2 linked regions of the Oreochromis niloticus genome follow. The protein of the gene in region 1 purifies or fractionates together with the protein of each later gene. This does not show direct contact. Links are inferred from orthologs where the notes say so. Each region holds a gene or a part of one and is shown on either strand. Other genes may lie near its edges.

Evidence for each region.
Region 2: the proteins of vps50 (region 1) and vps51 purify together in Homo sapiens (affinity purification with mass spectrometry; 7 studies listed by BioGRID and IntAct, counting the BioPlex papers as one, with this or other methods). This does not show direct contact. The link is inferred for Oreochromis niloticus from reciprocal best matches to the Homo sapiens genes VPS50 and VPS51.

What each region holds. Positions count from the first base shown.
Region 1 is NC_031985.2:24,115,116-24,132,059, forward strand, and holds the start of vps50 (syndetin), read left to right. Parts: upstream 1-8,785; 5' UTR 8,786-8,907; coding exon 8,908-8,940; intron 8,941-9,436; coding exon 9,437-9,505; intron 9,506-16,944. Other genes in the region: hepacam2 (HEPACAM family member 2), read left to right, coding at 1-96, 1,271-1,570, 3,153-3,278, 3,709-3,730, 3,826-3,860, 4,258-4,331, 4,428-4,538.
Region 2 is NC_031975.2:9,245,568-9,262,207, forward strand, and holds the start of vps51 (vacuolar protein sorting-associated protein 51 homolog), read right to left. Parts: upstream 6,448-16,640; 5' UTR 6,173-6,447; coding exon 5,996-6,172; intron 5,619-5,995; coding exon 5,489-5,618; intron 5,376-5,488; coding exon 5,229-5,375; intron 5,133-5,228; coding exon 4,913-5,132; intron 4,435-4,912; coding exon 3,540-4,434; intron 3,383-3,539; coding exon 3,167-3,382; intron 3,059-3,166; coding exon 2,975-3,058; intron 2,892-2,974; coding exon 2,757-2,891; intron 2,671-2,756; coding exon 2,549-2,670; intron 829-2,548; coding exon 741-828; intron 651-740; coding exon 390-650; 3' UTR 1-389. Other genes in the region: frmd8 (FERM domain-containing protein 8), read right to left, coding at 9,584-9,693, 9,821-10,049, 12,403-12,552, 12,650-12,773, 12,854-13,069, 15,123-15,289, 15,629-15,687. UniProt on the Homo sapiens protein: Acts as a component of the GARP complex that is involved in retrograde transport from early and late endosomes to the trans-Golgi network (TGN).

The sequences.
Region 1 (16,944 bases):
CTGTGAGAAAAGAGGACAAGGGAAGTTATCACTGTGTGGCCAGCAACCCGGTCACCCGGGGTCAACACAGCAGGGCTGTGGAACTCAACGTCTACTGTGAGTAGCTGTAGCTTCTTCTTCGGTTTATGAACCCTGTAATGACTTTGTTCGCATCCAAGAGCTGCTTTATAAAGATTTTTATCTTATAGAAACAATTAAAAATCTAAAATGTCACATATGTGTTCCTGTACTCTAACCCTAAATCCTAAACCTTGTTGTTTTCCCTTCTCCAGAATAGCTGGAAGTGTTGGGTCATGTGTAAATTTTAGTGAGATCAGCCTACTTACTATCAGCTTAAAAACAAACAAAAAAAACGCCATGCGCCTGTTATGGGATGGTATTTGCATGGGAGCAGACTTATCTCACAGAGCTCCTCTGTTCTACTATAAACGGCGTAGATGCACCGATAGACTTTATTGGATGTGCCAGTATGAGGCTGAATCGAGGACGTACTGCATGCGTAATTTTTCCTGGGTGTTCATTTTAATGTGTTCACATTTTTACAAAAGAGACGACTTTGTATTGAAGCGTGACAAAAGAAAGGCGTTGTAGGTTTTGTCTACAGGTTCCTGCACTTTTTACCTCCACCTCTTTAGTCGTGTGTGTTGTTCTCATCTTGGCGGTGACATCACTTTTGTTTGCATAGGCAGATCGTGTTTGTGTTTCAACCTGCAGGAAGCACTCTCGGTTTCTTTCAGTTTTACTGTATTGAGTTTCTAGTACAGCCGGTCTCCTTCTTAATGTTTGCTTTCACTGGAAAATACAATAAAAAAACAGCTGATAGTGAACTGGTCTGTTTGCTACTTATAGCTAATTGCTACTACAGTAGTTCTCGTTTAACAGATCATTTTGTTATTTAACAGTTAGGTTTTATCTAAAATGTATATTAATATGTTTATAAATAATATGCTTGACTGTGTTGGAAAAAGACAATTCTTATTTTAAGTTAGTGCGCTTTCTCGACAGCCCATGTTCAGTGCTGCACCAGTTCACCCCCGCCTCACCAGGTCTCAGTGTTCTCCACTGACACTGTCAACATACCCACCCATATTTATCCCACTACTCCGTGTACAAACCTGTGACCTTGTATTTAGAAACTCACTTTTCTTACCCTGCTTTCCTCTGCTACCCAATCATGCCTTAGAACTGGACGGTTCATGAAAATTACCCACAAAGCAACATCTCACCAGCAAACTGTCATGTTTTTCTCACTCTCCACCGGCCCATACAGATGGCCCTTACAACCTTGAGGTGAACTCTGTCCAGGGCCTGCGCACAGGGGAGGTGTTCACCATCAACCCTGGGGAGCTGGTCTTCTTTGAATGCCAGGCTGACTCCAATCCACCTAACAGCTATGTGTGGATCTCCAAGACCCGCAATGCAACTCAGATCGTCACAGAGGGCCCTCGGCTAGAGGTGCGCTCCTACAGACTGGCCCAGGCTGAAGAGTACCTTTGCCGTGCCTTCAACAACGTGACGCAGAAGCAGGACGAAGCCCAGTTTACTCTGGTGGTGGCCAGCTTGGGAACAGGTGGGTAGAGGGTGGAACATGGCAAGAGGGAGGAGAGCGTGGGTAGGTTTTGGGAATCCTCTGAGATAAACACTCTGCAAACAGTGTGTCACGCCAAACGCAGAAGAGCTGGGTGAGCGTTTCGAGATAATCGTTGCCAATGATAAGCACTGCCCACCTTTTGGGAACAGTTGGGGAGATAAAATACTATAACTGGAGCATTACACTGCGTAAAAGCTGACAGGTCAGACCAGGTTATGGCTATAATGAAATATACAGTACATTATTATAAAACTAAGGTTATATCTGTGTTGCTAGGCTCCAGTACCTGCAGCATGTATTTAAGTTCAGTGGCTGGGAAAGTAAACACTGGATAACAGCTGTTATGTTTGTTGACAAGGTTTTATAGCATATGGAGTTTCTGTGTGCTGAATGCAACATTAATATGTTGCCTGGGTGATACTGAGAAAGGGACATTTATGATTACTGCTGATACTGACTGATTTAACACGTTGTTTAAGGAGTCAACAGATGCCCTTTTTTTTTATTGACATCGAAATCTTTTATGAACCCTACCAAATTTCTTTCTGATGATTACAGTTTTAAAATTCAAGGATTTTACAGACATGTTAGCCACTGTGGAAGGCTATACCGACTGTCTGTAAAAGAGGATACTGAGATGATTTATTTATGTATTTATTTTGGCACCTGACCTGCCCATATTTAGATAAATTGTGGATAAGAGAGTGTAGTTCGACATTTTCAGCTAATGCTTGCTAGCTTGGTTAGTTAGCATTGTACCTTGGTTAGGTTAGATACCTGCTAATTAATGGTAACACATAAATAAAATTGGTTGAATTTCTCACATTAAGAAAAACAAAAACAAAAGAGACTACAGCTTAAACAGGTAGCCTTTATTTAACCACACTGCAACAAACATTAGTTTCCAGGAAACTGCTATAAATGTCAAGTTCAGTAACGTCATTTAGCTAAAGTGCTACCTAAAAGACAGCTAGCTAGATACCGTTAGCCTTTATCTGAACTCACCGGCTACTCAAAAAAACCATCATACATAAGATTTAACACATTTTAAACTGAAAAGTACGTTTTCACTAAAGCCTTTGTTTGCTTGTTTTTGTAGCCAACTTCAATATCCCTGAGTTGTCTCACTGCAAGACACAAAAACACGATTTCAATAACACATCTCAGCTTTTCTATGTGATAAACAGATGATGCTTCAGTAAATGAAAGAAAAAGTTACAAAAAAAGTTCTGGTAGCTCATTGGCTAGAATGTCCTGTATTCATAAAATGTATATGGTAAATAGTGGAATAAATAACAGGAATAATTCTGCAAGTTAATTGTTTATCTGTTAGTTAATTACATTGTTAAAGTATGAAGGGCCACTGTACAGGAATCTTAAATTCGGGAAAACTATGAAAATAAAGTTTACGTTTTCCAAAGCTGTCCAGTGGGCCAGATTGGGGGCCGTTTTTTGCTCCCTGGCACAAAGACCAACTTGTTAACTCTGTCATTCCTACAGAACTGGCTTACTTTCAAATTTGTGTTCATGTATCATTCATGTGACTGTTGTTCATTAACAGGGAAAGAGAAGCACACCCAAGAGGGTAGCTCTGTATCACCGCTGGCAGTCATTACTGTCTGCTCTTTTTTTGTCATTGGCTGTATGCTGCTGTTCTTCCTCAGGAGAACCTGTCATCCAAAGAGAGGTTAGATACTGTTTTCTGCTGTTGCTTTGGCGAGCACATTTTCTTACAGAACCATATTTGCTTTTAATCCCTGTGAGTTCAATCTTACTTTCCTCCTGGTTTCCGAGCTCTTGCATGTGGAATTTAATAAACCTTCCCACAGCAGTCATTTTGACTTGAAATGTAATTAGAAATGGTATTAATTAATGTCATTTGTAACACCCGTGTTTGCCTACTTTTTCATGTGGAAAAAAACAACAAAAACAAAAAAAAGAAAATGTTACTGGGAAAATGTAAATGACTTGCAAATGTTAGATTAAAGGAAACAAGGGCAAAGTAACTTCTTTATTTGAGGAAGTGAAGGTCACATTTGTTATGCTGTCGCTTCTGTTTGCGTGACTTTATATTTTTCTCTCTTTCTCATTCCCGTTCCCCTCTCTTTTATCACCAGTGCTTATGAGCATTTACAACAAGTAAGACCCTTTATTATGAAATTAATTCAAAAATCTACCATCGTGTCTTTTCCCCACATAAGCTTCAATTAACATTTGTATTTGTTTCTGAGCAGACCGTTTTCAGAGCAGAAACGACCACATCGTTCAGGTAAACTACTTTTTTGTTCACAGATTTCTCATTTTTGCCCTCTTGTTACCGTCAAAAACATTAATTATTAGGGATCCCAGAATATTCACTCTCATATTTATTTATACACATGCATTATATCATATTTAACAAGGAACTGGATTGGAAATATTAGATGAACAGGGCATTTACTGGACAAATCAGCTTCAAAAAAGCAAGTTTGAAAGCTAAACAACTTAACTTACCTTAACTCAAACAAGATAAGGAGAATTTAATTGAGATTAGAGCAGTTTTATGTTTTTAGGTTTATGACATCATATAATTTACCATGCCATTATAAAGTCTGACAGGGATTACACATTAACAGCTCTACTGTGGCAAAATTTTTGCTCTGATTTATCAAAATGTGTATCAACAGGTCACGAGGATGCAACCGAGGACTTTGGCATCTACGAGTTCGTCTCCATACCTGGGAAGACGGAATCTACACAGGTATTTTCACAACCAGCAAAGCAGCAACACTCATTTTTTCCCAAAATCCTTTGTTTTTTTAATGCTTTTAATTTGCCCGTACAACTAATCCACCAGGCATCGTGCAGATCTTTGGCTCGTCTCGAATCGATTCAAGATATGCATACTACCATCTACGATGTGATCAGACACGTTCCTGAAACCCCGAGTCACAGTTTGCTGAAGTAAAGTCTGGCTGGAGAGCGGAGATGGAACTTTAAATGGTTTAACTTGAAGATTTCCTTGTAGCTTTATTCTCTTAAGTCTCTGTTATCAAAGCCTGAAGCACTGGTTTTGGTGGCCTGGTTTTTTGCACAAGGGATGAAGGAGACTTGTGGGATTACAGAACCTGATAGTGCACTGCTGTTGACGAGAGTTTTGGACGGATGTTAAGTGTATTTTGCTGACATTGGTGTGAAATGAAAATGTATGTTCAGCTCATTTTTATTTTTTCTGTGAAAGCATAACTGAAGTTAAAACCCTTTTGTTTTCTGTTTTAAGGTGAAGATTATGTAAAACTAAGCAAGTTAGAAGTATTCAGTTTTACCTTATTTTGAAGATCTTGTGATGCATCCAAGGTGCCGAAATTGCCACATTATAGATGAAAAAAAACCCCACGAATATTATCATTTTAATTTAGCGTTCCCTGCTGAGAGAGTATATTTTGTGAGAAGTGTTATAATTAATGCAGTACGAAATATATATTCAGGTTAACTGTAAATATTGTACATGGATTATCCAGCAGATTCTTTATACATATTATTCTATTTCTATGTTTCACTCTAATCTATTTATTCCTATCAAAACTTTCAGCCCTGCTTCCCCAAATGTAGCATTTTCCCTCTTCTCATAATGGACACAATGAAATGCTCAATGAAAAGACAATGATAAGGAATTCATTATTGTACAGTTTGCATTCACATGTTTGTTTTGTACTTTATTAAAAATATAACTGTTTACTACTCTGGTCAATTGGAGTATGGACTGTTTGCTGACATCAAACAAGGACAATGTACTCTAATCTGCGAATTCTGCAATTATGTCTGTATTTTTGCTTTAGTTTGCCTTTTTTTTGTAAAAAGGCAAAAGCAGTAATGGCTTGAAATGAACATTTGTTCTTTCACACTTCCTGGAAAAAAAGAATAGCTGAAGCCAGCAAAGCTGTCAGTTGTTCTGTTGCTTCACAGTCCATCTTTGTCTGATGTCTTGGCTGTAATCTCTCTCCTAGCAAGAGTTGTGCTTTCAGTCCCAACACTGCTGCAGAGCGCTAGCTTCTTTCAGCCTCGCTGTATTGGTATGCTGTGTACCTGATAGAGATAGGCAGCGACAGACGGATGGTTCAGCATGTGGCATAGTGCCCTCCACCTGCTCCCGCTGACACCTTGTCACGAGTAGATAGAAACGGGTGTGCGCTTGCTCCTGTTTGTGTGCGCGCGCATACATATATGTGTTGTGGACAGAAGAGGAAATACAGAAATACAAATAAAGGGGCAAGCGTGGAGAGAAAGTCAGAAGTAGAGTGATTCATTCAGAAAGCGGAGGCCAAATTTTTATATGCAGCTCATTAGAAATGCTCCAAGTTTGCCAACCTTGGAGAATGAATCACGTAAAGGAACATTTGTTTCTACTATTATGCAGCTTATTATTACCAAACTGTTGTATACTCATTATGTGGTACCATGCTGAGTGCATCTTTTCAGTGTGTGAAATGCTATAGCACAAAATGCTGGCTACTATAGTAAATTATTATCAAACTGTAGTTGTTTCTTTTTTACGCCATGAACATTAAAAAACAAAAAAATCTAAGTCTAGAACTCCTGCTGAATTCTAAGGTGTGACATATCACGATGCTCTCCTGCATAACAACAAGTTGTTTATTAAATCTTGGTCTAATTTTAGCTGTTGAACTGACCAGCCGAGTGCGCTGTGTCTTTGTGGTGGCATCTCCGGGTAGGGGTTGCCATCTGTTCCGTCTCAGTGTATACTTAAAGGGAGGCTCCACACTGTGGATGACTGCCTGACAAACAACAGTGGAGTAAATTCACCCTAAGGAGAGCGACCTCACCTTCATTTGACTGGGAAATAGCCTGAGGCATCATTAACCAGGAACTAGAGCTCGCAGTGCCTGCTGTGTGCAGCAAGCTGCCTGCTTTTAACCAAGCACAGCCCGACATAACACCTAAGGGGGCAATTACAAAGCAGGCTGAATAGGTCTGTGTGTGCTGTTTTGGGAATTATTTGGAACAGTTTACAATGCAGAGCCAGGCATAACTGCATGCTTGGCAGAGATGAACCTGCGTGGCACTGATGACAGCGGGCAAATTCTTGGTCATGAAAGTAAATTTGCTGCGCTAAACATTTACAACATCCCAAAAATAGAAAAGCCTACTTTATTGTGTTAACCTGTATGTATATAATGTGTATAATACAGACATAAAGACAGTGGCTGTAGAATTAAAGGAAATCATTCTACTTTATTCTTAGGAATAAAACAAACCCTGGAGCTGTTTGGAAACCCGCCCATGTGGTGTACTGATAATAAGTGCAACATTATAACACACGTTATATTTTACTAATTAATTGTTTTTATAGAATCATTAGCATATAAACGTGTATATGTTAATATGTAACTCGTGCACATTAATGTGTAAAAGTCTTGATCCGCCCCTCATTCCTTTATATTTTTCTTCCATGGATACAGACTTTCTCATTTGCAGTGTTGTCCTTCTACCTGACCATTGTCAGAGGACTGTTTGTTCATTTGTTTGTTTGTTAGGTTAATTTATGATTCAGACATATTAAAAAAAGGCACCTAACTCAATAGATGAACCAGTGTTGTGTCTGCACATAGGACACTGCTTAGCATTGTATTTAATTGTATCTTTAGGCACTTTGTTACTAGCAGACTGCTGCTAAAAACATCATTTGGTCCCATTTCTTTTGTTGAGTAATTTAAAAATATCAAAGACAACACAGGTGACAGACAAAAAGTAGTATTTTTGCACCAACAAGGTGATTCCCAAAAATTTGGCACAACTGGATGAGCTGCAATGAGAAAACTGAACAAGTGGAAGAAAGTGGAAGGCCTAAAAAGTATCTACAGTAGATGAACATTTGAAAGTCATGTCCCTAAGAAGCAATAAAAAAAAATTCAGCATTTTTTCAGTTGCTCTCTCGCTCTCGGAGATGGTCTCAGTGGAAGGGTAGTCGTCAAGAAGCCATTCTTGAGGAAGCGCAACAAAGAGAAATGACTGAGGAATGCCAAATTACACAGACCTGGACTGAAAATCAGTCCAGGAGTCATGAATCCAAATCTGATCTTTATTCATATTGTTGTCAATATGTATGCAGGAGGTACCACAGTGAGTGTCCACAGCCATCTGTAACAAAAACCAACAAGCAGGGGAGGGTCTGTCGTGGTTTGGAGCGTTATTTAAGGCCGCGGTGTTGTGGATCTTTGTCAAAATTGATGGAATTATGAACACAGAAAAGTACAGCCACTGATCTGCCATGCAACATGGTGGAATGAAGCACATTGGTGAAGATTTCATGTTTCAGCATGGCAAGTACCCCAAACACCCTGCTAGTGCAGTAAAAGCAAACCTGGAGAGAGAAACACACAGTGAAACACTATCAGTCACAAAAAGAGCTTTGAATGTCATTCAGGTATAGAAGGACAGAGGACTATTCCTGATGACTACCTAAAGAAATTACAAGAAAGATTACCTAAGAGAGTTCACAGTGTGTTGAAGAACAAATGTTTTAATACCAAATATTGACTTTAAGGCTTGTTTGAATTATATAAATCCTATTTTTGTCTTACATACTGGATTTCTGTGTATGTTTGCACACACCTCAATAAACTGCTGCACCTGTTTCCCAGTTTTCCAGCAAAATATAAATAAATGTCGTGTGACTCAAGACTTCTACAAAGTATTGTAAGTACCTGAATAAATCCACATACAGAGATTCAGCCTAAAGCCATGTAAGAGAAAGATAAGCATATGTGTTGCCATTAACGTTAATGATGGCTCAGTTTTATTCCAGTGTCCCATGGCAGCCTCATCTCAGGAAAAACAATACAGCCACTGTGTTTCTTTTGTTTTTTAAATTTGTTATCATTTGCACCCATATTTTCGTTATTTTGGCACAAGGAGGTTAGATGACTGCTGTGTACTATCTCTGTTAATTTACTACCATCCAGTGGCGTATGGCAGCAGTACATTACTGTAGTGTCAATCTTTGACGCCATGTTTATATTTTATCATATTTTTTTTAAAATTTAATTTTCTCTGTTTATAAAAACATGTACTTTGGATTTCGTCCAGATGCTTTCATTTTTAATACGTGTGAAAAGCCTGACAGGCAAGAGCACGAGCACTGGCTCTTAAAAAATACATTTCCCATAAAGCTTTGCAACGTTCCGGTTCCTGCCCTGCCAGTCACGTGAGACTCAACTATGGCTTCCTTCTCGTAGTGATGGAGGTGCACTGTTGACAACAAGACACAGCTGGAGCTTTATTCATTTCTTTAGCCGCTGATACAACTTGGACTTACGATGCAGAAGATAAAGTCTCTTATGGCCCGTCAGGTGAGCACAGCAGGTGTACAGAAACTGCGCTACCGGCTGTTTGTCTCTGACAGGAGCCGGTAGTTAGCATGACAGCCTGCTAAGCTAACTGGCTAATTTGACAGCTCATCGTTTGGTTCATTAAGTGAAACGTTCAGCCAGACTAAAAGCTGTTTCAGTTGTTTACCTCAGGCAAATAAGGCATGCACATAGCAATTTACCTCACGCCCCGGTGGTGAAAGTTTAACACAACAACAATAACAACACAATAAAGGGAACTGGGCGGATAGAAGGAAGTTCTCAGTTTGCACATGCAGTAGTGTTTGGCAATTGGTCAACACTGAACACAACAGAGCATATCGCTTTCAGAAATCTGCCCCTCAGTTCCACTTTTTGCTGTATGCAGTAGTGTGCTGATGACGTTTTGTTACAAGTTACAGATTAAAAATAAAAACACAAAGAGTAACGTTAACGCTACCTGTTGTTTGTAGTTTTAATTTGGATCTTATTTTGGCAGGGCCTGAAAAGCCCCCAGGAGAGCATGGCAGACCTGAGTCCTGTGGAGAACCTGAGAATCCCGAGCAAGGTAAACTTCAAGTCGAGACTTAGACTGCAGCTGTCTGGTTTAATGTGCTGTTTGATGCATGTGGACAGTTTCTCCATCTACCACTTTGTGAGTAGATGGCTGCATTCCCATGTTCATCTGGTTCATTATGCTGTGAGGTCTGATAACTTCAGTGCTTATCTTAATAGTTTTGCTGACAACTTTTAAAAAGCTGCCATATTTTATTCTTTTCGAGCCACAGTGAACGCCATCGAGGAGGGATTGTTTTAGCAATTGCACTACTGCTGTTGGACACAGCTGCAAGCTGTAACACAGACCCCGAGTGATGTCTTTGTCATTACCCAGAGTCAGCACTCATATTAGTAGTAATGCCACCACAAGGCTGTCAGTATTACTAGAGATTTAATTTGTTAATGAAGTGTCGATGATTCATCAGCTATACATTGGATTTCATTTTTTTGTGCTTTATCTAAACAGCAGTTGTTATATTACAGTTATGCACAACTGAAGGCTCCTGTTTATATCAGTTAAACAGACTTTATGTCAGTCCTCCTCACCCCACTCAATTTGTGATGCAGACACTGTTATAAGAGTATTTGAACATTTCTGGCATGGCAGCGTTTCAAATTGCACTTAGTCATGCTTGGTCACAGGAAGCGTTTGTCACTATCCCCTTTGTACAAATTCAATTCGTCAAGTGTCGACGGAGCAAAAGGCAGAGCGGCTCTATTTCACGTTTAGTTACATTCATTCCTAGTGTCGCTGTGGCTTTTCACTGTAGTGATGACCTTCAATAAATGACTCTGAGTACAGTTTTGTTACTCTATTTGTTCACGGCGCTGGGAGATATGAGCCAGGTCGACTGAACAAGACGTTTAACCTTTCTGGTTTTTGCACACTTAGCGTTTACGTTTTCTTTTCGTATGGTGTGCTGTGCTGATATGGCGTGTGATTATTTTCTGCTCAGGCTAATGCTGTGCTGTGATAGATGAGACCAAAAAGAGAGTGCATTTTTGTCAGCTCACCAGTGGCGGTTAGGAAAGATTAAGCTGACTGAATTTTAAAATCTGCTTCCACTATAAAAAAAAAAGAGAGGAGTGTCTGATAAGCTCATACTTAGTTTTTATATATATATATATATGAGTATTTCTTTACAAAATTATAATGGAAAACAGTCACATTTAATACTCCAATAATGGGAGGTTGTTTTGTCATATTTGTATAAAGCCTTGTAGATCTGCAGACAAACTAATCCACCTTTTGAAAAGATAAGCAGATATTTAATCTCCAGGTGTAATAGGTGTCTAATTGAAAGCAGACTGTGTCTTCAATAAAGATTTCGTTTTGTTTTTTTTTCTCAGTGGGCACCTCTGTCTCCTGGCCTTGGAGTCAGGTGACATGGTCAAACTGGATATGCAGTAATCAAACACTTGTTTTGTTTTTTCCTTGCTTGTAATATTCTCGTTTGTCAGTGCTGGACTGAGACTCTGTGCAAGACCTATCACACCTGCTTTGTTTGCCTTATGTGTTATGAAGCAGTAAGGATAATAAGACCGAAGTAATGGCTTCTGTGGATGTGTTCATATGGATGTGTGAAATGTAAGCAGACAGTATGCCGCTGTCCATCGCCTATTAGGTTGCTCTTGTGTGTGCACTGCAAATACCTGCCTGTTGTGTATTCAACATAAACACAGGGCATCATTGTTTGTTGGCTTTATACTTTGGCTTCATTTACTTTGCTTTCATTAACGTGCTGGCCCTCTCAGCTTACAGGAAAATAAGATGGGGCCACGACACAGGCCAGGCTTCATGTAAAAGTAGTCCTCCTTCATTACAGGAGAAATAGTCCTCTGCAGGAGTGAGACCAAGGTGCTATTATATGATCATTTTGAGAAATACTGAGATCATGATTATTTAACACGTCACAACGCAGTTAAAATTAAACTTTAACTTCCTCCATTAACATTATACTGATACCCACTGATTGGAACCATTGCTGTGTTTCATTTTTTATTATTATTAGTATTTTTTTTTTACCCATGAGTCACATCATTTATCATCCTTCACATGCTGACAGCAACATCTGGCTAACTGCAGGGGGAAGGCCTGATGTGTGTGATGATTAAGTAAATGCTGCTATTCAGTTACTGTTAGGACACAGTTTGAGGGTTTGAAAGCAAGATCAAGATAAATGTGCAGTAGTCGGTCTGTGGCTGTGGCTTATCTCTCTTTTGTAGTATTTAAATGGAAGGACAGCCATTCAACACATTCATCAATAATGAAAGTTTGTTTGTTTCAGTCTGGTAGTGGTGGGTTAATACAGTCTGAAACAGGGTCATGATCTCATTAAATTGGCTAAAAAGTATGTAGAGGCAAGTTTGTTTGTTTTTTAATTTATCAGTTTGACTTTTTTGTGATTAATAGAGGTTATTAAACTTTAGACGGATGGTCCTCATGTGAGATGCTTGGGGATCAGGGTTATTTTAAAGGGGTAGTGGAAAATGGGTGTTTTAGGTTATTTGAATGTTTTGCTGTATTGTTGCAATGAAAAATTACAAGATTTGCAAAACCCTTTAAAGATGTCGGAAGCTTTTCTTTTGATTGGTAATCCATAAAAGGGAAAAAATAAAGCAGCTTCGTCGGGGGCGGTATTTTCACTTTCTTTTTGTTTTTTTTGCAGGGACGCAGGTGTCAAGATGATTATGTGCACATACGGAGGTCAGACTCTTGGCAATAGCATCAGTTTACCCTCAGGGAAAGCTATTCTCAAAGAACATCTTATCCCTTTGTTCTCCTGGTGCTGTGTACCTAACACCTTCTACAAACATGTAAATCTGGGTCACAGCGAGACATGCGCCTAAAGTTAACAAGTTACAGTCTATTCGAGATGCCAGTATGATGCCACCTCAGTGTGATGAGTAACAATTGAAAGCTATGACTCAACAGTAGAGTCACAGCATTCGAATTACAGAGACCTTGAGTGATGTCTTTGTTATTGCTCAAGGTCTGTGTTATTTTATCTGCCAAGGTAGGAAGATTTTTACCAAAGCCTTTGTAGCACAGATCGGTAACATGCTTTTGGCTTCATTGGGCAAACAATAGTAATCATAACCTATTAGCATATTTTAGTTAAAGAGGTCCTCATGTGGGTTTTGTTTTCTTCACTGATACTCTAGATGAGATGAAAGAAGTGATCATTGAAAGATGTTTGAAAAGCAGTTGGTGTGTTCAGAGGATTCTCGCTGTAGTTCTTGGGACAGTTAATTTCTACAGTAGACGGTGTCACCTAAATTACTGAATGATCAGAGCTACCTGTTGTTGCTTACGTGACTTGAAGTTGTGCAAGATGGATTGTTTTGTTTTGATCTTGCTGATCTCATGAGAGTCCAGCTGCCTCGCAAGGTAATGTGTTTTCAGGCGTTATTAGATCTAGCCTTTTAGGAGTGACTTTACAATTACAGATCTTTCCAGACCCCATCAAAAAACCAGACAGAAAAGATAAAAGATGGAGGTAGCTACTGTGATGTCATCCACTGGTTTTTGAAGTCCTGTTTGCTCATCCATTAGCATCCAGTGGAATATCCTCCTTTTAAAAATATAGTTGACCAAGATTTACTCTCCACAGTGTCTTTTTTCCCTCCCTGATCCTGGTTCTGCTGGAGGTTTCTTCCTGTTAAAAGAGATTTTTTCCTTCCCACTGTCGCCAAGTGCTTGCTCACAGGGGGACGGATGTCTGAGGGTTTTACTTATTGTAGGATCTTTATTGTAGAGTATAAAGTGCCTTGAGGCGACTGTTGTAAATTTGTGCTACATAAATAAAATAAAATAGACTTAATTTTTTATTCAGTGTGACCTAATATGAGGCACTCCGCCCATAATTACATTAGGAAAGTTTTTACAGAGGTAAAGTCAAAAAGCAGTTTTCCCATAAACTTCTATAGGACCAGAAATCTTTTTGCAACCACAGCTATCGCCCTCTGGTGGCTTTCAGATAGAATGCTGGTTTACTTAGTTACTTAGTTACTTATTTTTCTGGCCCGGAAGCTATATTAGTGTTGTTTTTGGATGCAGTGAATTAAGCAGAGGCAGTCACATGGACTCCTGTGTGAAGCAGATTTTAGAATACCATGGATACCACAGCTTGTCTGCTGAATAAAATTGGAAAATAATTTCAGATGCATACTGAATAAGATACTTTTGGCTGCTCCCTTATTCACACAAACACACACACAGGCACACACACACTCTCACAAGAATTAAATGGCTCTAAGCCCTCAAGCTATTTTTTTAACAACTTTGATGTTTTTTATTCTTTTCCTTTTTTTTAATCTCAGTGTTCCTAAGCTGCTTTGTGGCTTGTCAGTAAAAACAAGCCAACCTTCCACCCCTGTCCAGTCCTTTCTGTTCAAAGCTGTTGTCTCTCTGTGAGTCACTGTTGAGGGGTTTCTTTGAGGATGCTGTGGTGTTTTTATCTCTATTAAGTGATTGCAGAATTGATAACAAAGCCTAGAATAAAAATTTGGTTGGTTTGTTTGGTTGCATTTATTTATTTCCCTGTTTGTTCCAGAGAAATGAATAAATGCTGGTTATTAAACAAGTTTTAAAGTCTCTCAGCCTTAATTACTCTCCTCGCATGTTTTTTTTGCGATTAAGAAAATCAAAGATTTGCTTGATGTGTAGGATGTGCGGATTTAGCTGTTTACTTTGTTTGCATCGTGCACCGATTTATGAATAATTTCCTAATCTCAAAGCACCTGATAATGACAACAATCCTAATTACTCACAGTGTGTTATAGGTTTGGTCATACTGTGAAACATGTAGGCAGGTAATTTCGGTGTGATTTTGTGATACACTGAAGACAAAATTCAGTTATTTAAACCTATAAAGCTTGAATTATTTTATAATGGGCAGAAATTTTCATTTTTTTTAAAGCTTGATTGTTTAATGAGCATTGTGACAAATTAAAAGAAAATCATATGTTTAATATTTGCAACATCTGATAGTTTTGTGTAATGCGCAGTTTTTTCAGGGAAAAAATTAACCACACCAGTGATGTTAAGGTCTCAAATCCTCATGTATCAAATATTAGACACTTCGTGTTGTAGGATGAAGTTTGCTTTTGAGAGACCAGCAATTTGTTTCCCCAGAAGCCTCGGCGTGTTCGAGGTAAACAGCTTTTCATTCATACAATAACCATGTCCAACCAGCAGGGGTCACCCTCAACTTACCCACCGCTCATCTTTGCCAGATTTAAAGCTCTCTTCAGGCACACAAAGGAGCACACATTATCTCCTAAAATTATGGGATTATTGATTGGATAACTACTTCTATTTGCTAGTATTTATTTCCTGAAGACAAGGCTTTGGGATCAATCTGTGAGGAGGGCGTGTTTGATAATCTCTCATTAGTTCACGCAGGATGTCTTGAGGGAGAACACAGCTTATTTTTATAGTTTCCGTTTTATGGCTTCAGGACCCAGTCGGGTTATGTAGATAAGATATTTTGTAATTATATATTTCAAAAGCCAGATCATGCACTCATACAGTGAAGAAACTGCATGGCATGAAAACAGAGCGCTTCTCGTGCTTTCGGCTGAAAGAGAGTGTTGAATGAAAGGTAGAATAATCACGTACTTCCATGCAGAAATTCAGCTGTCAGCGTTGCCTGGATTGTGCTGGATTGTGCGATCGTGGCTGCGAAAGACAACATTGTTCTTAATGGCAGACGAAGACACAGGCGCACAGTTAGTCTTGCGTGCATATACAGCACTGATTACAACGAGGACGTTTTGATTCGTTCATGTAACGAATGATTCTATGGTGGAGATAATTGGCCCTTCTCTCAGTCTCTGCTGTCTTCCACCCCCCGTGTCTCTCAGGGTTTTCCACAAACCTCCTTTTGTTTATTCAATCTTTTTTGTTTTTATCAGCGCTGCTGTGTTTGTTGAGCAGTTATTTCTTTCTTTATTTTGTTGCCACAAGCATAATTTTCCATATTCAACCAGCGCTCCAGTCGAACATATCCCCCTTTGATTCTCAGATAAAGCTTGTAAAACGACCCGCACTTAGGATGCAAATAGATTTCTAATTTCCGCAACGAGATGAAGATTTCATTAATTTGTGGAAGTGGCTGGGCTGGGGGCTGGGGGCCGGGGTGGGGGTTGAAGGGCTGTTTGTTTGTCTCTCATCCATCAAAGTGAAATTTGATCAAAGCCTCACAGCGGCTCACGGTTCGGGTTTCTCGTGTGGGCCGCGGGGGCGTTTGTTTTGCTTTGTGCCTGCACGGCGGCAGGCGAAGGGAGGGAATTATTTAACTCGCGGCAGACCTTCAGTGAGTCATTCACTTAAAGATGTTTCAAGTTTTGCGCGTCACTGCAGGTGGGAGACTGAGGCAAAGAGAGGGGAAGGAGAAAGACACTGACACAAGGTGAACTGCCTTCGAGTGGCTTCACGGGAGCCACTTCATTGTCTTCTGTTTAGCCCACTCCTCTGCCTTTTTTTTTTGTCTTCTTTCTGCCATAACTTCTCCGAACAGTGAGTCATCCTCCTCATCCCTCCTCCCTTTTTCACTTTCTCTCATTTGAGCTGATTTCCCACCCACCTTTTTGATGGGGGAGCGTGATCTCCTAACTCTAGGCCTCCTTTCCAGTCTCACGCACTCACCCACACATCCCCCTTCTCTCCCCAAGGGGTGGGGGGGCTCCGGCTCGCTCCTTCACCTGATTTAAACACGGCACACTCGCCTGGAGATGTGCACACTTGAGATTTGCACACTTGCACGGACACTCGCATTAAACACATTTCAATGCTCGGTTTGAATCTTCACAGTTGCCTCGTGTGAGTGTATGAAGGGTTTCTCTGTGTGTGTAATTGAATTAGATGAAGCTATATTTTGCTGTGAAATGATGAAAATTACGCACAGCAGCATAGCCTCATATAAATGTCACTCAGCGAGACACGCTGTCACCCAGAGAAACATATTTAGTTATTTGGGTGGCACACTTCATCGCCTAGCTTCATGCTTCTTGCTGATAGGAGCTGGGAACATATTTGGGGTTAGGCAGGTGTGTAACAAGGTTTTCTTGATCAGTGTCTGCTATCTCGAGAAGGTGTACGTTTAACGAAGTATGCATATAAGGGTGTATATTGAATTTTATATTGCATTTGTCCCATAATTCCATATCCATCCTTGTTAGCCCCGAGCTGCTGGTCTATTTTTAGTGCCATTATGCTTTAATGTATCGATCCCACACAAACAAGAAGTTCGACTCAGTATTAACATAAATGAAGGGCTTCCTCTCAGAGTGTACTCACATTACAGAAGATGTGAGTCCTGTGCAATATCACTTAAATGTCAGATGAACCAAAATTGTATCACCTTACAGTAATTGCATTACACTGAGCAGTAGGGTATTTGCTCTTTTGTAAAATGAAAATAAACAGTTTAGATTTACTATGTT
Region 2 (16,640 bases), on another chromosome or scaffold:
CTTTAGTCATTAATATTATGTACGTAAGGTCAATATTTTATCCTTCAAGTGAAACAGGTGCTAAAAGCTTCAGCTTGTACAGTGGATTATTCAACTCTATCTTTGTATAAGGAGGAGATGGAGAAGATTTTGTTAGTTTGTAACAGTTACAATATCAAACCAAAGTGGTACAGGCTCATTTGCACTTTAATGACAAGCACTTCAATTTAAATCTGCCACAAATTTGACGTCAGTTAACAGCTACTACTGTTTGATTTAGTGTTGAAAAATTAATAATTCCTGACTCGTTCGATCTGGATCAACAGACTGAACAGCAAGTGTTGAACAGAAAAGAAGTGTTTAAATTTGGATTCATGATTTCAGTGTAATTCTTTCCATCCCCCCGAGCCTTAGCCTCTTTCACAGATAACTTCTATCACACTCTGCTCCATCGGTGCGGGATCCAGGCAGCGGTGGGCGGCGCTTCCAACGATCTCATCTAGCAGGAAGTGCACGAGATTCTCGTCGGAAACAAAGCGCCACAAGTACATCTGCAGGTAGTGGCAGTCCACCTGGATCTGCTGCAGCCCGTATCGGCCAAAAGTGCGCAGGCGGACGCACTCCAGAAATGTTTTTAAGCTGATTTTGATAATTCCCGTCATCACGGACACCTGAGGAAGCAGAAAGATGTGCAAGTGAAAATGTAAGATTTTTCCTTTTTCATTTTGTTAAATGAGGACCATCTGCAGATCTGCACCCACCTTGTTGAACTCCACTGAGCTAAAGATGTCAATCCTTTCAGAGAACAGCTTGTGTATGTTGCTCAGCAGATTGGTATCCATGGGAGCACTGAAGGTAAACAGAAGACAAGTGCTTAAGAAAATGTGTTTAAAAATAAATTTAAAAAGTTAAAGTGTGATTAAAAATGCCTATGAAACAACTGACATCGTACTTTGAAGTGGTAATATAACACTGTATCTATGTGCCTTTTATTTATAATATTTTAATAACCACTCAGTGGTTATTAAGATGTCATTACAATGTAATTTCTTTATGCTGACATTTCCAAAATCACTCACTGTACTCTACCAAAATAAATAAATAAATGAATCAAAATCAAAAACGGGGTGCCAAACATAAGGCCCAAGGTCCAAAATCGGCCCGACAAAGGCTCCAATCTGGCCCACTGACTGGCATAGAAAAATGTGAAGGCAACCATACATTTTTGAATTTTAATTGTGTTTTCAGAAGTTTTACAGCTTTTCTTACTTATAAAGAGCTTCCCTGTGGCCATTCATAGCAAAGTAAAATAATTAAGAAAAGTAAAGTAAGATAGGAAAGGAAAGGAATTACAGAAAGATTCCTGTTTTTTCACTGTATATTGTATTTTTTACTGTGAGTCAACAAATTTTCAGTTTTATAATTATAGGACAATATGGTAATAAGCTACCAGATCTTTCTGTGTAATTTTACACATTTATTTCTTACAGTTTAAGCCCAATGAGTCATGCTGACAGTTTTCTTTCATTAACTGCAGCAGCATTTCTTCATCACGTAGAAAAACCGAGACGTAGTGTTGAAATTACACTTCTTTTTCTTATATTGGGATATATTAGGGATTAAATGTTTGGTTAAACTTCCGGGCCACTTACGGTCAAAATAGGCTGCATGTGGCCCACAATATAAACAAGTTTGACATTCCTGATTTAAAATTTGTAGGTAGCTCTGCACCACTGCTACCACTATTATTAACTATCTTAAGGTCAGTCTTTGAAAATCCCATTCTCACCACTTGCATGTGTGTGTTTGCAGTGCACACTGGATCACATGCTGTGTGGTTAAGAGGACAAAGTTACAAGCCAGAGAGCCATAACTTGTAAACAGGTTGCTGCATGCTTACACACCAGTCAGTTAATTTCTACAGAAATGTTTATCTTCAGATACCGCCGGACATAGACCGTTATGCCCTTGGAGACAAACTCACAGCAGAAAACTGTGTAAATGTTGCAAGTAAACTGCACGAATTCTGCATTTTCACCTTTGACCTAATGCACAGCCTCTGAGCTTGAACACTCCAACCTTTTCCACTGAAAATTCCTGTTTGGGAGTTAGTATTTGTTTTCTATGGAAGTTTGAAATCACAGATGTTCAAGAACATCCAAACGCCGATTGAAAATCTTGAAGGGAAACATTGGACAGATATATAAAGGCCCTTCTATTGTTTCATTTTCTGCACATTACACTCTACTTACTCTACTTTTGCGCAATGGTGTAAACCCATGGTGTCCAAACCCAGGCCTCAAGGGCCGGTGTCCTGCAGGTTTTAGATGTGTCCTTGATCCATCACAGCAGATTTAAAAGCTAAATTACCTCCTCAACATGTCTTGAAGTTCTCCAGAGGCCTGCTAATGAACTAATCATTTGATTCAAGTGTGTTGACCCAGGGTGTTATCTAAAACCTGCAGGACACCGGCCCTCGAGGCCTGTAGTTGGCCAAGCCTGGTGTGAACAGAACCAAAAAAAAACCACGACTGCCACCAGCTGAGCGGTGTGTGTAGAGCTATGGTACCTTGGGGTGTAGCTGGCAGCATAGCGGGCTTGCTGCCTGGAGCTGCTGTAGACAGAGAAAGTCCTTTTGCTGGAGTCGCTGCTGTGCGCTTTCCTCACGCCCTCTTCATACAAGAGACCAACCTATTGTGCAGAAGTTTCATAAAACAGCCCGTTCATGTGGGATCATGAGTGCGTGAGGACAGTGGGACAGTTGCAAAAACTCTCACCTGCACATCAATGGATGTGGTGTCCTCTACCACTCTCTTCATGACAGCGCGGACATTTCTTGGCTCGATGGTGTTAACCCAGTCTCTGGTTTCAACGCTTTTTCTTAACATTTGGGAGATAATCAGACCCTGAACCTGAAGCAAAACAAAAATAAAGCAACTAAATAAAAAGGATGTTTCGCTTTTGTGACTTTTAAAGGTTGTTGATAAAAGCCTACCTTGACATAATGGTTGAGTAGTTTCTGTGCTGCCTCCCTGGCTTCTGCACATAAAGTTGTAACAGGTGTTACGGGACTGTGGTGCTGAGAGAGAGCAAAAAGCACATTCTTGTCATTGTCTTTGGCAAGGTGACTGGCTGATTAGAGAGATCAAACACATAATGACAGCTAGCTCTCCTTGTTTTGTGATACCTGTACAAGGAACTGTTCATCTGTGAGAGTAAGTATGTAGGAGATGGTAGAGGTTTCGTAGTCCAAGCAAAGACGAGACAGCAGCAACAGAAGGGCTGGGGGAGTTGAACCTCCTTTGTCTCCGGCGGTCTCACAAAACTGCCGAGAAGACTGGCACACAAACTTGATAAAGCTCACCACCAGGCTCTCACGTACACCCTGGCTGCAGAATTCACCCTAAAAGGGAGGGGAGACACACACAAACCGGTATCACTCGCACAATGTAGAGACAACACGCAGGGTTACAGTAACACATGATGTCACACATTAGTTCAAACTCATATGAAAACTATAAAAGGTAGTTTGGGAGCAAAAAACCCCAGAAAATGTTCACCTTGAAGTACGGCTTGTTGGAGAATGTGATGTCCTTAGCTGTAAAGAGATGCACTGACGCCAGCACCGACTTAATCTGATTGAGAATTGAGGCTGACAGGGAGGAGAGCAGCTCTGGTAGGCTGGTTGGAGCGTCTCTGCCAGAGGCTGGCCCAGCCACAGAAGTGCCAGCCACAGAGAGACGAGGAGTTGCCAGAGCCTGCCTCACGTCTGTCAAGCTGTCCATGTAGAAGCTCTGCAGAGCGGAAAGGTACTGCTTGACTCGCTCCGTTGCCGCCCGTATCACAATCTCCGTCCCCTTGTTTGGCACAGCTGAGCCAGGCAGAAGTTTGGCCACAGCCTGGAGTCTGCGGTGGAAGCGGTCCAGCGCACGTACAAGTAGGGAGTTATCCCCGACCCCTTTCTCCTCTTGTATCCTCCGCTCGACAAGCATGAAATATCGAGCAGCCAGATCATCCACAAAGACATGCAGCTTGCCATTTGCCATCTGAGGAATATTTTTGGATGCCAGCTCACCCTTTTGAGCATGGTTGATAAACAGTTCTTGATAGGACGTGATTACCAAACATAAACTGCTCACAAACTCATTGCAGCCTCTGTCGATGAATTCCAGAATGTCAGTGTTTGATGCGGGGGAAGGCAGAGAGCTGTTTTTGGGAGAGCCATCGGCCGGCGATCCGGGGGCTGTTGTAGACGACAACCCATGCACGGAAGCATCTTTTGTGGCTGAGGTGGACGGGTACGGCCTTATCTCTGCTTCCAGGCCCTGAAGATCTGACTCAAGGCGAGACCGCGCGTGGCTCAGGAATTTATCACAGAGCTCTTCTGCTGGCTCATCCAACTGCAACAGAAGCTCCACACACTCTGATAAATCTTTGGCACTTGACCCACCATCCCTATGATCACAAGAAGAAAAGACAGAAGCAGAAATTTAATGAAACGTGTGATTTTTTTTTCCTGAAGTTTGGTCAGTTTTGGCTCACGCATCAGCCTCTTATAAAAGGAAAAGTTTTTGAGTTGGCATCTAAAACTACACTAAAAACTAAAACTAGGTGTGAAAGCACATCCTAGTCAACTTAAATAAAACTACACTATTTAAACTAGACTTTGGAAAAAAAACTTACTGAAACAGTATAAAACAAAACTACCCAAAATAAAACAAAACAAAACAAAGCAAAAATAGTATATATGTATAAAATTTGTCAATAAAACCTCTCTGATGAGGTTGATGTCCATTTGTTTATTGTCTATGAGTCAACTCAATTGCTGTTTTTTTAATTTTTTATTTTAATATCTATGCAGTTGTGTCAAACATGCTGTTTATGCCAATTAAAATTATTTTTGTTATATATTGTAATAACTAGTCATTGTCACCTGAACTTCTGTCGAAGCTCCTGTGCCAGCTTGTCCATGATGGCGTGACAGTCATCCTGAATTCCCTTGAAGGAGGGCAGGTGGCTGTACTGCTGCAGTACGCAGCGAGCACGGCGGTGGGTGTTCACTGCCTGAGCGTAGGCCTGCAGCTCCAAACATTTATTCAACCTTGCAGGGAGTTCAAACAGAAACTGCAGCTTCCTCAACAGAGTGTGAACACCTGGAGTGAGACATGGTAAGACCCCAAAAAATAAATAAAATACAAATCACACAATTAAAAAGTTTCATTCAAATAAACAGTCAGGTTAGGTCTCACCAGAGAGTTTGGTTATCTGCGCATGCTGGTCTTGAAGAGTGCCGCTGATCCGAGCGCTGAACTCTGTGATCGCAGCCATGTTAGCAGACAGACAATCCATTTCATCTTCCATCTTCTTGAAGTCATTCTTCATCTTTCTTATAGTGTCTGGCAGAAGGAAAGAAAAAGGAAGGCTGTTTCAGCTATCCAGGTTTGCACAATTTAATGTCAGCTTACGTTACAGCAGCAGCGTGTGTGTGTGTTTGTGATGTTCCCTTCACCTGTAGCTGATATAAACTTGTTGTAGTTTTCATACACCAGGGTCTGCATGTCGCTGTCCAAAGAGCGGATCTGCCTGACCATACAGGTCTCCTGGTCCATCAGCTCCGTGAGAGAGCACTCCCTCCTGAGCTGGATTTGGATATTTAAAAAAAGAAGTTACTGTACATATGCTTAGTGGTCATTTGTGTCTTCTATATGTAGTGTGATGTAGTATTAGCACTGGTTCATTTCTCACTGTTTGGCAAAGACAGGAGCAGATTTGTGTTTTAAAATTCACAGCCATCTATATCTTTACTTGTAGTGACATTACAACTGGGACAAATGAAGGAAGTACTCTGGTGTTTTCTTCAGTTCATGTAACATCACTGCAATCTGCACTGTGTATAGTATTGTCGATTTCAGCATTTCATGTTCTATTATCTGGCATCAAGCTTACGCTAAAATTCTGAAGCAGTCCAGCTTTGTGAGCCACTGAACGGATTACAATGACAATAGCAGTTTCGCACCTTGTTGAGATAGAGCTCCGGGTCAAAATGAGGCCCATTGATGTCGCAGGGATCCAGGGACTCCGGCTGCTCCGGGGCCTTTCCTTCCTCATTCAGCCCGTAGTACAGCTTCAACATGCCGTGCACTCTCCGCCTCCTTCCCGGGTCCTCAGCCACCGGCACCGAGCCCTCGTCCATAATGAACGGCGGCCAGCTGTGAAACGTTTAAAGTAAAATAACGATAAACAAAGGCGACGACAGACCAGCTGACAGGAGACAAACGACAGCCTCTAGCTGGGAAACGGCAACACAAAGCTCCTGTGTGACCGCTGTGTGTTTAGCCTCGCTGCCAACTGGAAACAACAAAATCATTCAGGATAAATATTCAGAAAATGTCATATTTTCTCTGAGGCAGAAGCAGCTAGGTGGAAGCGGTGTTGTTTCCGGGTTTCTAGCCTATCCGGTGTTACGTCGCCCACCAGTGCACGTAATCTAAACAGCCAATTAGAGCAGTTTCTCTTTGTTGATCTTTTTATTCACTATAGGCTTCAAAATTTATGTATTTTATGTAAGAATGTATGTTTTTGGCAAAGTATAGACAGAGACAAAGCTCATAATTGTTCAGGTAAGTGTTCTAGTTATGCGCACAACTGCGCATGTCCTAATTGGCACGTAACGCCATATTAAAATGCTTAGATTGAAGGAATCTTCCATTTTTGGGGGTTGTAGGGAAAAATTAAATGACACCAAAATGGATTAAATGTGTATGATAATCTGTGATCATAGCAAATCCTACAATGTTGAAATCAAGAAAAACACAAAGAAATGCTCATCCCTTGAGTGATCAGAGGAAAAAAACACTTTTATTATAAGATTTAAAATGTGACAAAAGTCTATATTTTATCATGAACATAAAAATCATAGAGGAATAATAATCTGGGATATAGTTCAGGTATTTGAAAATCATTTGTGAAAGCAGAAAATCAGAGGTTTTAGGTGCATGTTAAATCATTTCCACAGGAGCACTCACCAAGCTTTCTACATATATATCAACTCTTATCATACCTGCCATATATTAAAACATAAACATTTAACAATGAACTTATTTCCCCAAACAATTTGAAATGGATCTAGCTAAGATGGCACCTCAGTTAAGAAATTGTTGGCTCGACTCTAACATTATTCTACAACTGCAAGTGTTTAAGTAAAACAAAATGCCACAGAAATACTGATGAGAAGTTTGCATGACGTTATGTTATTAAATCATATGCAGAATAACATATTGGTTAAAATATGGCTTTAGTACACTTAAGCAGCAGGTAGCAGACTGAGGAAGGAATATTTGATGACAGGTATGTTCAGAAAAACGGGGCCACTTTCCATCATCTCATAATTTTAATGAAGGCCGAGCTGACAACCGAGAGGAATTACAGTACACTGTTCAACATCCGCCATCCAGTTACTCAAATATACTCACATCACATAACATAAAGGAAATACATCATTTTAAACCATAGCAATACCACAACTGTCCATTTTCTGGTTTCAATGCACCAAAACAGTAATTTAGACGCCAACCCAGTAGAAACAAAAAAGGCACTTTAAGCTTCTGTAAAGTGTTTGAGACCTATTTCTTCATTAACATATACAAACACTGGCAAGTACATGAAAACAAACCAAAAGAAAGTAAAAGTGTTCTCTCATAAAAGCTAACAAACAATACAAAACAAATCTCCTGCTGTAAAATGTTTAGAAACAGTGTATTAGTATTAACAAGTGCAGCATCACATGATGTGTAGACTGTCGGAATGCCTATTCTACAACGTGACATGCATAGTGTTTGTTGGCAACAACATACTGAGCTGCTGGCGTTAGTATACAGACAGCAGCTGATACACAAGTTGAAGCATAGAAAAGTAAGGACATTCTGCCGTTTGCATGCTGAGGAAAATCGAGAAGAATAGACCGCATGTGCCGCCACATCTCCAACGAGGGCACGTGTTCAAGTGGAAGGCGCTATTACAGAGATGTGGAGACAGAAACTGCCTCCCTTAGCATTAGTGTGGGGTTCAGAGTGACACCCGGGGGACTCTGCCAAGTGCTGGAGGCTAAAATCTGTCTCTGCAGCGTTAAGGTAGCACACACTTGGTTGCAGCATGTCAGACAGGCTTGCTTTGGTGGAAAGACTTAAGATTTTCAACAGTGTGGCCACAACTTGGTCCTTGTTTTGTGTTCAGAACACACAGTCGCTCTCTAGTGACAACCGGGTCAACAGATTGGTTAGCTTTTGGAGATAAAGTGAAGCAGAAATTGTTTTAATGCTATATAAATCTAATAATCAAGTAATGAAATTCTTTGCATTGGTAAATGAATCGTCGTAAAGCTGAAAACGAGGCCTTTTTCCCCAATGATGTCAACAGTGACCGTGTTTGCAGAAAAACAACACTGTTAGTTTCTTTAATGTCTACACTTTCAATTTATCTTCTGTCATGTCAGAAGTTGCACAAGAACAGTATTGCATCAGTTTTCTTGCTCATCAGGTCCAACAGTCAGGTTAGACTGTGCCGACAGATCGCTTGTACTAATCGTCCATGCTTTGAAATTTAACATTTGAATACAAGCATGGTGCGGCAGTGCTGGATGATCTTTAGATGAATATATTTTTTCCTACACAGGTTCTACAGTTTTATAGCTTTAATTCAATTCTTTTATTAGTGCAAATCCATTTAAACACTTGATACTGTGACCACAGAACTGCAGCTTCTTTAACAAGAAGTTTTAAAACTCACATTTTTAAAGCAGGTCGTCGTGCCACCTCTTTCAAACTAGCTGCAGATATCGCTTAATATTGACTTTGTCAAAAACTCCTGTACTTACAAAAGTCCTCCACAACACAGCCAATGTGCTCCCATAAGGATTGTTTATGGTCAGGATAGCCGGACGCGACACGTTTCTACTTTTTCTGAAGTGGCTTCACCCTTTGTAGAGATCAAGGCACTGGCAGTTTGAAAAAAGCAGAATAGCGGAAATGCACCCTTAGATAGTCCCCTGAAAAATGTTTGTCATGCTGACTGTTGCCGTTTGTGGTATCGCTTAAAGTCTGAGGTGGAGTCACGAAAGCTTTAAATATTCTTAATGCTCAATCCCCGATAAGATGAGTAGAGGTAATGCAGTGGTTATACTCATTTGAGGTGCAACATGTTTGAATAATAGCAGTAAATCCGCTTCCAGAGCGCTGCAGAAAGGTCAAAAACAGTTATTGACTGGAGTCACTGTTTGAGGATTATTATAAGGCTTGTCTCACACTTATTCATCATATGATCTTTACAATAGGCTGTTTAAGGAACACCCACTTCAGTTGAACCTTGGAAGCATAGCTGCTAGATCTTTTTTCACATTACTGTACTCGCTTAATGTACACAACTTCAGAAGATAAATATTGTCACTCACACTTGGATTGCTGTCATTTGGTCCTTTACATGTTCATATATTAGCAGATAAATGTCTCAAGCTCAAAGTACATCTCTCCTTTTTTTTTTGTTTTAAATCTCAGTGTAAAATGTTCAGATTTGGTCTCTGAGAGGATCGGGTCAGATCTGATGGGCGACTTTAACCCTGCTCCAGACTCTCTGTTTGCACTGCAGAGTAGGACACTGCAGACGCCTGTCGGGCGAAGAAAGACGCGGCTCTCTTGGGCTTCAAGCGTTTGATTTCTTTTCCTAAAAAAACAAAAAACAAAAATGAACAAATGCTGAAAAGAAAAAAAATCTCTGATACTGTGAAACGGCACAGAAGGAGCTACCTCCAGAAAGGATAACCCTGCTGTTAAACAAGTTTGGCCCTCACCGTCATCGACGTAGCTGATGGTGTTAAGCGACTGGACTCTGCTGCACACAACGCTGCCTTGCCTGTGCAGCATCCCGCGCCTTCCGCCACGCCCATTCTTGCTCCTTTCTTCCTGTCCGCCGGGCTGCTGTGACAAACTCACCTCGCCGTCCATCTCGGCTGCAGCTGCCCCCTCGGACGCAGACTTAAGCTCCACGCAGAACTCGATGAAGCCGCTCATGAGCTCCGCCTTGTTGGATGGGACAAAAAAAAAATTCAGTGTAAATTCAATGAATAGTTTATATAATCGCCACACGTAAAGTACAAATTCTTTTTTACACTAATTAATTAATAATAAATGAACAGTACTCATTCATACGTGATTATTTTTGAGCTTTTATGTATAACATCTTGACATATGTTTGACTAAGACACTTTTCAATATCAAATAACTAAAGACCCAACATAAAATACTCACAACATATATGAAATGCAAATGCACACTAAAAACGATATAAGGCTAAAAAACACTTTAAACAAAATAAATATGGGTCTTGTGTGGCATCATCCTTTGTGGCACATACTAGATGACCCTCACACAGTCCCCATGACTCGAGAGCCTCCTTGAGGGCTCTGGCTAACATTTCCCCTGCATGGTCGTCAAGAAGACAGCACGTCTGCAAACACTGACTGCAGTGCGTCTGGTCTCGGGTGAAGTGCACTGTGCATACATTTGATGCTGCAGTGTAGCATGCTACATTGTAGATTTCCTCCAATGTTTTGGCCCGACACTCATAATATAAATGAGGCAACTGGACTTGCGTGAAGTGTTTTCGGCTGGACATGTCAAGTGTTTTGACCAATTTAGAAATCCCTGTTTCTCGACATTCTAAGTTAGGACCGTGTCTTTATAGATAAAAGCTGCAATAGCTGCTATTATCTCCTTCCATCTTTGTGAGTCTATTATATGGCGCGCCGAGGGTAAAGGCTGTTCTAACACTTGACTCTGTTGTATTTTGAGCACCTAACGGTTCTTTTTTTGCTTCTCATTTGTGAACCCTCTCCATACTCTTTCATGTGATCCTTGCGTAGGTGCTAGAACAGGTTTGTTGTGTCGGAATCTGTGGTGGGGACTGGTTTGTGGTATAATTTTGCAAAGTATAGTTTTCTGGTTCATATCAGACTTTTTACAACACAACTATGTATATGCTACAGAAGTAGCCCCTTGTTTAGGAACAAGTTCTTTGATTTGTTTTGCAGTAAACAGTGTGTGTGTGACAGCACAAAATAAACGATGGTATAATATGAAACAACAGGCATTTTAATTCCATCTTCCGATATATTTCGTCATATCCTACAGCCCTACTAAGGCTTAGAGCCTGGTGATTATGGTAATAATGCTTTTACTATTAGGTAACAACTTTTTGGTGCCACGTTTACCGAATGAGGATGATATACCTGAAGCACAAAAATGACTTGATATTTTTTAGGCACCTATATCAATTGTAACACTCATCTAAACACAAATATGCACAGCTGCTTCATTCAATCCTGGAAATCTCACAAACAGCAGGTGCTCTTGAGAAGTGACTGCATCTTTTGTCCAAGTTGAAAACATCTCATTTGAAAGTGCGTCAGAGGACTACAGCTGACAGCCATAAGACATGCTTGAATAGAGCAAAGAAAGTGGAGATATTCACACCATATTATTTTTTTTAATTTCATAAAAAGTTTTCAAACAGCTGGCGTCAATAGTTGAGTACTGAGGATAGTGGATAGAGGCTTTCTCCAAATGGGCGTAGGCCTCTCCCTTAAAGATAGGGTGAGGAGTTCAGGGTTGAGCTGCTACTCCACTGTATCAAAAGGAGCCAGCTAACAAGGATGTCTACAGGAAACTGAGATGTTCTGAGCATGTCCTACCAAGAAGATTCCCCAAAGCCTGGGAATCCCTCAGTGTTTCCCTTGGGTGAGCTGAAGGAGTAAGTAAAGTAAAGTAAAGTAAAATTTTATTTATATAGCACCTTTCAAGATAAAATCACAAAGTGCTTTACAGAGGCAGAGAACAGACATTAAAATCCAAAACAAAACAAAATTAACCAAAACCAAGTTTAAACAGATAGTCATGTCTTTTAAAAAGCAGTTAAAAACCTGAGTCCACAGATCTCAAACTCAAAGGGAGCGAGTTCCAGAGTCTGGGAGCCACTGATACAAACGCTCTGTCACCTTTTGTTTTTAACCTTGTATGCGGGACAACCAGCAACCCTGGTCACAAGACCTCAGGGACCTGCTGGGGTGATAAGAAAGAAGAAGTTCACTTAAGTAAGTTGGAGCTACACTGTGCAGGGCCCTATAAGTCATGATTATGATCTTAAATTGGACCCTGAACTTGACAGGGAGCCAATGCAGCTGAATCAGCAGGGGAGTGGTATGGGAGTGTTTGTGATGCTTTGTCAGAAGCCTAGCAGCAGCATTCTGAATGCCCTGCAGTCAAGGAGGTAGTGAGGGGAACACAAAGGAGGTTTGGACTTCTCTGCTAAGGCTGCTGCCACAATGCCCCAGCCCTGGATGAGCGGATGGACGGATGGATGGAAAAAGTTTCTTACCTGTTTTGAGTAGATCTTTAGCAACTTGTTGACAGGAGTGCCGTCTTCATCTCCATCAAACTCCAGCCACAGGATGTGTGAATCCCCCTCCTCCTCCGGGTAGCTGTGGTCCCAGGAGAGCTCACTGAAGCGCAGGCCAAGCAGCACGTGCTGCGGGAAAACATTTCCATAACAGGAACAGAAGCGCAGAGTGAGAACCACGGCATGTGCGGCTGCTGTTTTACAAAAGGTGTGAAGCACTGCTCACCTTCTCTTTGACATCCATCACATAAACACCTTCCAGGCAGATCCCGATGTTGACAGCTTTACGTTTTCCCCTTTGCAGGATCCCCTGCGCTGGTTTGTCAATCTCCCCAAAGAAGAAAGCACACCTGTTTTCACATTTAAAATTAATCATTTGCCTTCTGTGGAAAAATACAATTCAAAAATGTGTCATTATGCTAATTCATACCCATAATAAGGCAGCGTGTGACACGTGTTGAGGTACTGGTGTAGGAGCTGCGTGGGCTCGGGAGAGCTTGCAGCAGATGTGCAGATCTTACTGTACTCCTTAAAAAGGTTCTGCTCCAGCCCGACCTGACGGCTTGACTTCCCTCGCAAAGTAGAGAACAAGCCTCCGCTCCCCATGGTGACATGTGCAGGCAGATAAGAAGACAGCTTCTTCTCCCTGTGGAAAACAGAGGACAGAGGTTTGCATCAGATCTGTGAAGTATTTCCTCTCGTCTGCTCCTCTTTCCTAATTTACCCAACTGTCAATCTTTCTTCCTTTCATGTTTGTCTCATTTAAATGTTCTTCGCAGCGCGTCTTACTGTGACTTTTTGTGAGACCAAAGGACAAAATGCACTCATCTCCCAATTAAATTGTTTACAGTGTAGCTCTAGTTTTTGACCTTTCCTCCTTTAATGCTACCACTCACATTCTTAGATAAACATGCTCCTTAAGTGCGAGAGAACTACTTACTTTACAGAATCTATTTCATATAATTATGTAGAAATCTTCTGATGACAGCATCTATATTTAAAATAACCCATAAACACGCTTCAAAGAATTGCCCAGCTTTGTCTCGTCATCGGCTATCATAGGAATCTATTTTATTCTACTTTGGACAGTTAATGTTTTTAAACTAGTTGAGGTGCAGCATTATTGTTTATGTTCATGCAGTAAGAACATCAGATTATCTTTCGCAGTATAATACTTATGGATCAGTCAGTAAATTGCTTTGAAACAGCAGGGAGGAAGTTCACACAGCAGATAAAAACACAGAGTAGGATTTTGCAACACCATAAGCAAAGACTTCCTTAAAAAGTCTATAAATATGCATGTTTTTGTGTAGCTGTGGGTGCCTGTAAGATTCTTCTAAGAGTAGGTTACACTAATAATAATGATAATACACCTAATGCTGTATTGTATGTACAGTGTCAATTTTTAGTACTTGCAGTGGCTCTTAGACAACCTGACAGAGAAGAAACCTATGATGAATGTTGTCATTAGAAATGCCTTATCCCACCTGCACACCAACAAGTACTTAGAAATACACTGCAGTGTTCAGGCAACTGTTAATAATAAAAAAAAAGGACTACTGACCTTTTTCACAATATCCGTGTACCTTTTACAGGACTGTATCACATCGTCATAGACTGTAGTGAAGCATTAAAAGCTACTCCGTCTATCAGATCCCTAATTGAGGAATATGGAGGCTGTGGGAAATGGTTTGGGTGGTGCTTTTTTTCATTGTTTATTTTTTCTACTACATTAGGCTGTGCTGTAGAAAGGCATCCTCTCCAAGTCTGACAGATTTATGAAAGGCAGAACCACCATTTATTTATAAATAAATGGAAGAGAGATACTGTTTCATTTTGCACAAACTGCAAAGTCTGTGTGAACGTGTATGAGCACATTCTCTAAGTGCAAGAGTAAACAGAGTAGAATACTGGGAAAAACTTAGTCAGATTAAGCAAGGATTACTTTTCTGAAATGGCACGCAACTGGCTCACTTTCACAGATATATATTAACTTCACTGACTCTGCAGTTTTCTTCTCTTCCATCTATGCTTTAAGATATGCTCTTCAATAAAAAAGAATCCCACTAAATTACCAACGCCTTAAACAAAAAATTATTTTAAATACTTTAGGTGGAGGGTACATAATGTGAATAAGGACAGCGGTCCCCAACCCCCGGGCCTCGGACCGGTACCGGTCCGTGAGTCGTTTGGTACCGGGGCTGCGAGAGTTGAGGCTCAGGTGTGAAATGTATGGTTTTCAGGGTTTTTATCAGTTTTCAGCGTTATTTTGTTATCGTTTTTATCGTTAACTCGGTTTTCCTGGGTCTTTTCACGTGTGTTATGAATAAATCTTCTTTTTTTCGGTACCGGTACTAGTTTTATTTTGTTGTATTTATCCGCGACAGCTTAAAGGCCGGTCCGTGAAAATATTGTCGGGCATAAACCGGTCCGTGAGGCAAAAAAGGTTGGGGACCGCTGAATAAGGGAATGACTGAATGTTGCCAGACCACTAACAAAACACATAAAATAAACATTAGTAGGGTCTGGGGACCGATTTCTTCCTTTTCTATTATGTATGGAGGAAGATATAAGTGAAGTGGAAAGAAGCAAGACTTAAGACATATCGGCCAATACTTTTTTCTTTCAGGCACATGAAACATAAACAAATTCCCCCTAACATCATCATGTGTAGTTATTTATGAGCAGTTGCTTCTCACCTTATAGTTGTAGTAAACTGTTTGCTGTCCAGACTAGTTCCCTCATCGAGAGCAATAGACAAAGCTCCAAGACTAGTCCAATGCTCAGGGTCGCAGGGGTATCGACCGGTGAGGATGTTGCTCCTGGCTTCCTCATAAAGAAGTCGCAACACTCCTTCCTCTTGTATCTGCACAGGAGTGAGACAGTAACTCCCAGTAAGCACATTAAATTTAAAATTGAAAAAGAGTTTTGTCTAGTTAAGTCAAAATCTGTATTTCATTTTGCTTTGTTTGATTTGATTTGACATATTTCACAATAAAAATCATTAATATTAAAAGCAGCAAATTAAAGTCAACTTTAATTTGCTGCTATGTGTGTAACACAAGGAAACACTACGAGCCATGTGAAGTCAATAAATTAGACAAAATCTTCAGAAAAATGAAATGCAGGCCTCTGTTACACCTGGAGTATAACACCGTTTTCACCATTCTAAGATTAGTGAAAGTTGTAGCAGAGTTAAGAATACCTGCAGCTCTTTAGATTTCGGATAAAACACACTGCGTCTGTACTGGAGACATGGTTCATCTGTAAAAAAGGCAGAGGACAATCATGCTTTACTGTTTGGCGAAGTATTCAAGTCCACATTGGATGACATTCAGCCTCATCATCCAGTGTGGAGGAGGTAGGGTAGAAAGACAATGCGAGTCCCCTCAAGCCCACTCTGCTGTGGCTCTCAGTCCTGTGGCGTGGGTGGAATTTACTCCACAGGAAAAGTAACAGCTTTTAAGGGATTATACAATACCTGTGTGATACTTTTTATGCTTTATTGGTGGAAAGCTGTCACTGTAGACTAAAAGCACCTGCCACACTGCAAACGTGTGGGCTGATCGTCTCTGAGGGGGAGGTTTTAGGACAAAAAAACAAACAGAAAAAGAAACAAAAAACAGCAGACTGAGTCAGTGCCTCTTACCCCACTTACAACTCATTTAAAATGTGCTGTACTTAACCTTAAGTCTAACACAAGCAGTAACTAACAGTAAAAACTTTTGCTATTCTGTTCTGCATAACCCATGCTAAGGGATGCTAATTAATTAGCTCATAAGAACTGCTGTAATCCTAAAAGGATCACATAATCTCTCAAAGAGTGGAATATAACGTCTCTTTTTCTCTTCCTCCAAATGGTTGTTCTATATTCACTTTGATTTTCTACCTGTTTCAGTCGTTTCCTTTCCTGTTCAACAACAGCAGTTCATGTCAATGCCTCCTTTTCCTTGTTTCTCTTTTATCTCATCCAAGCAAACCTGACAGCCCTTTTATCCATTATTTACCTCGAGTAAGCCAGCAACCAGCATTAACTTATAAGTAAGCTAGAAATAAAGAGGAAACAGCTGCAGAAAAAGAAACAAGCTGTTGTCAGCACGCAAAAATGCTTTGTTTGGAGGCAGAAAACCAGGCTGATGACAGAAGTCAGCTTAAGGCAAACAGAGAGTGCCAATTACTAGACTGGACAGATGTTTACGTGCAGCTCATTGCTAAAT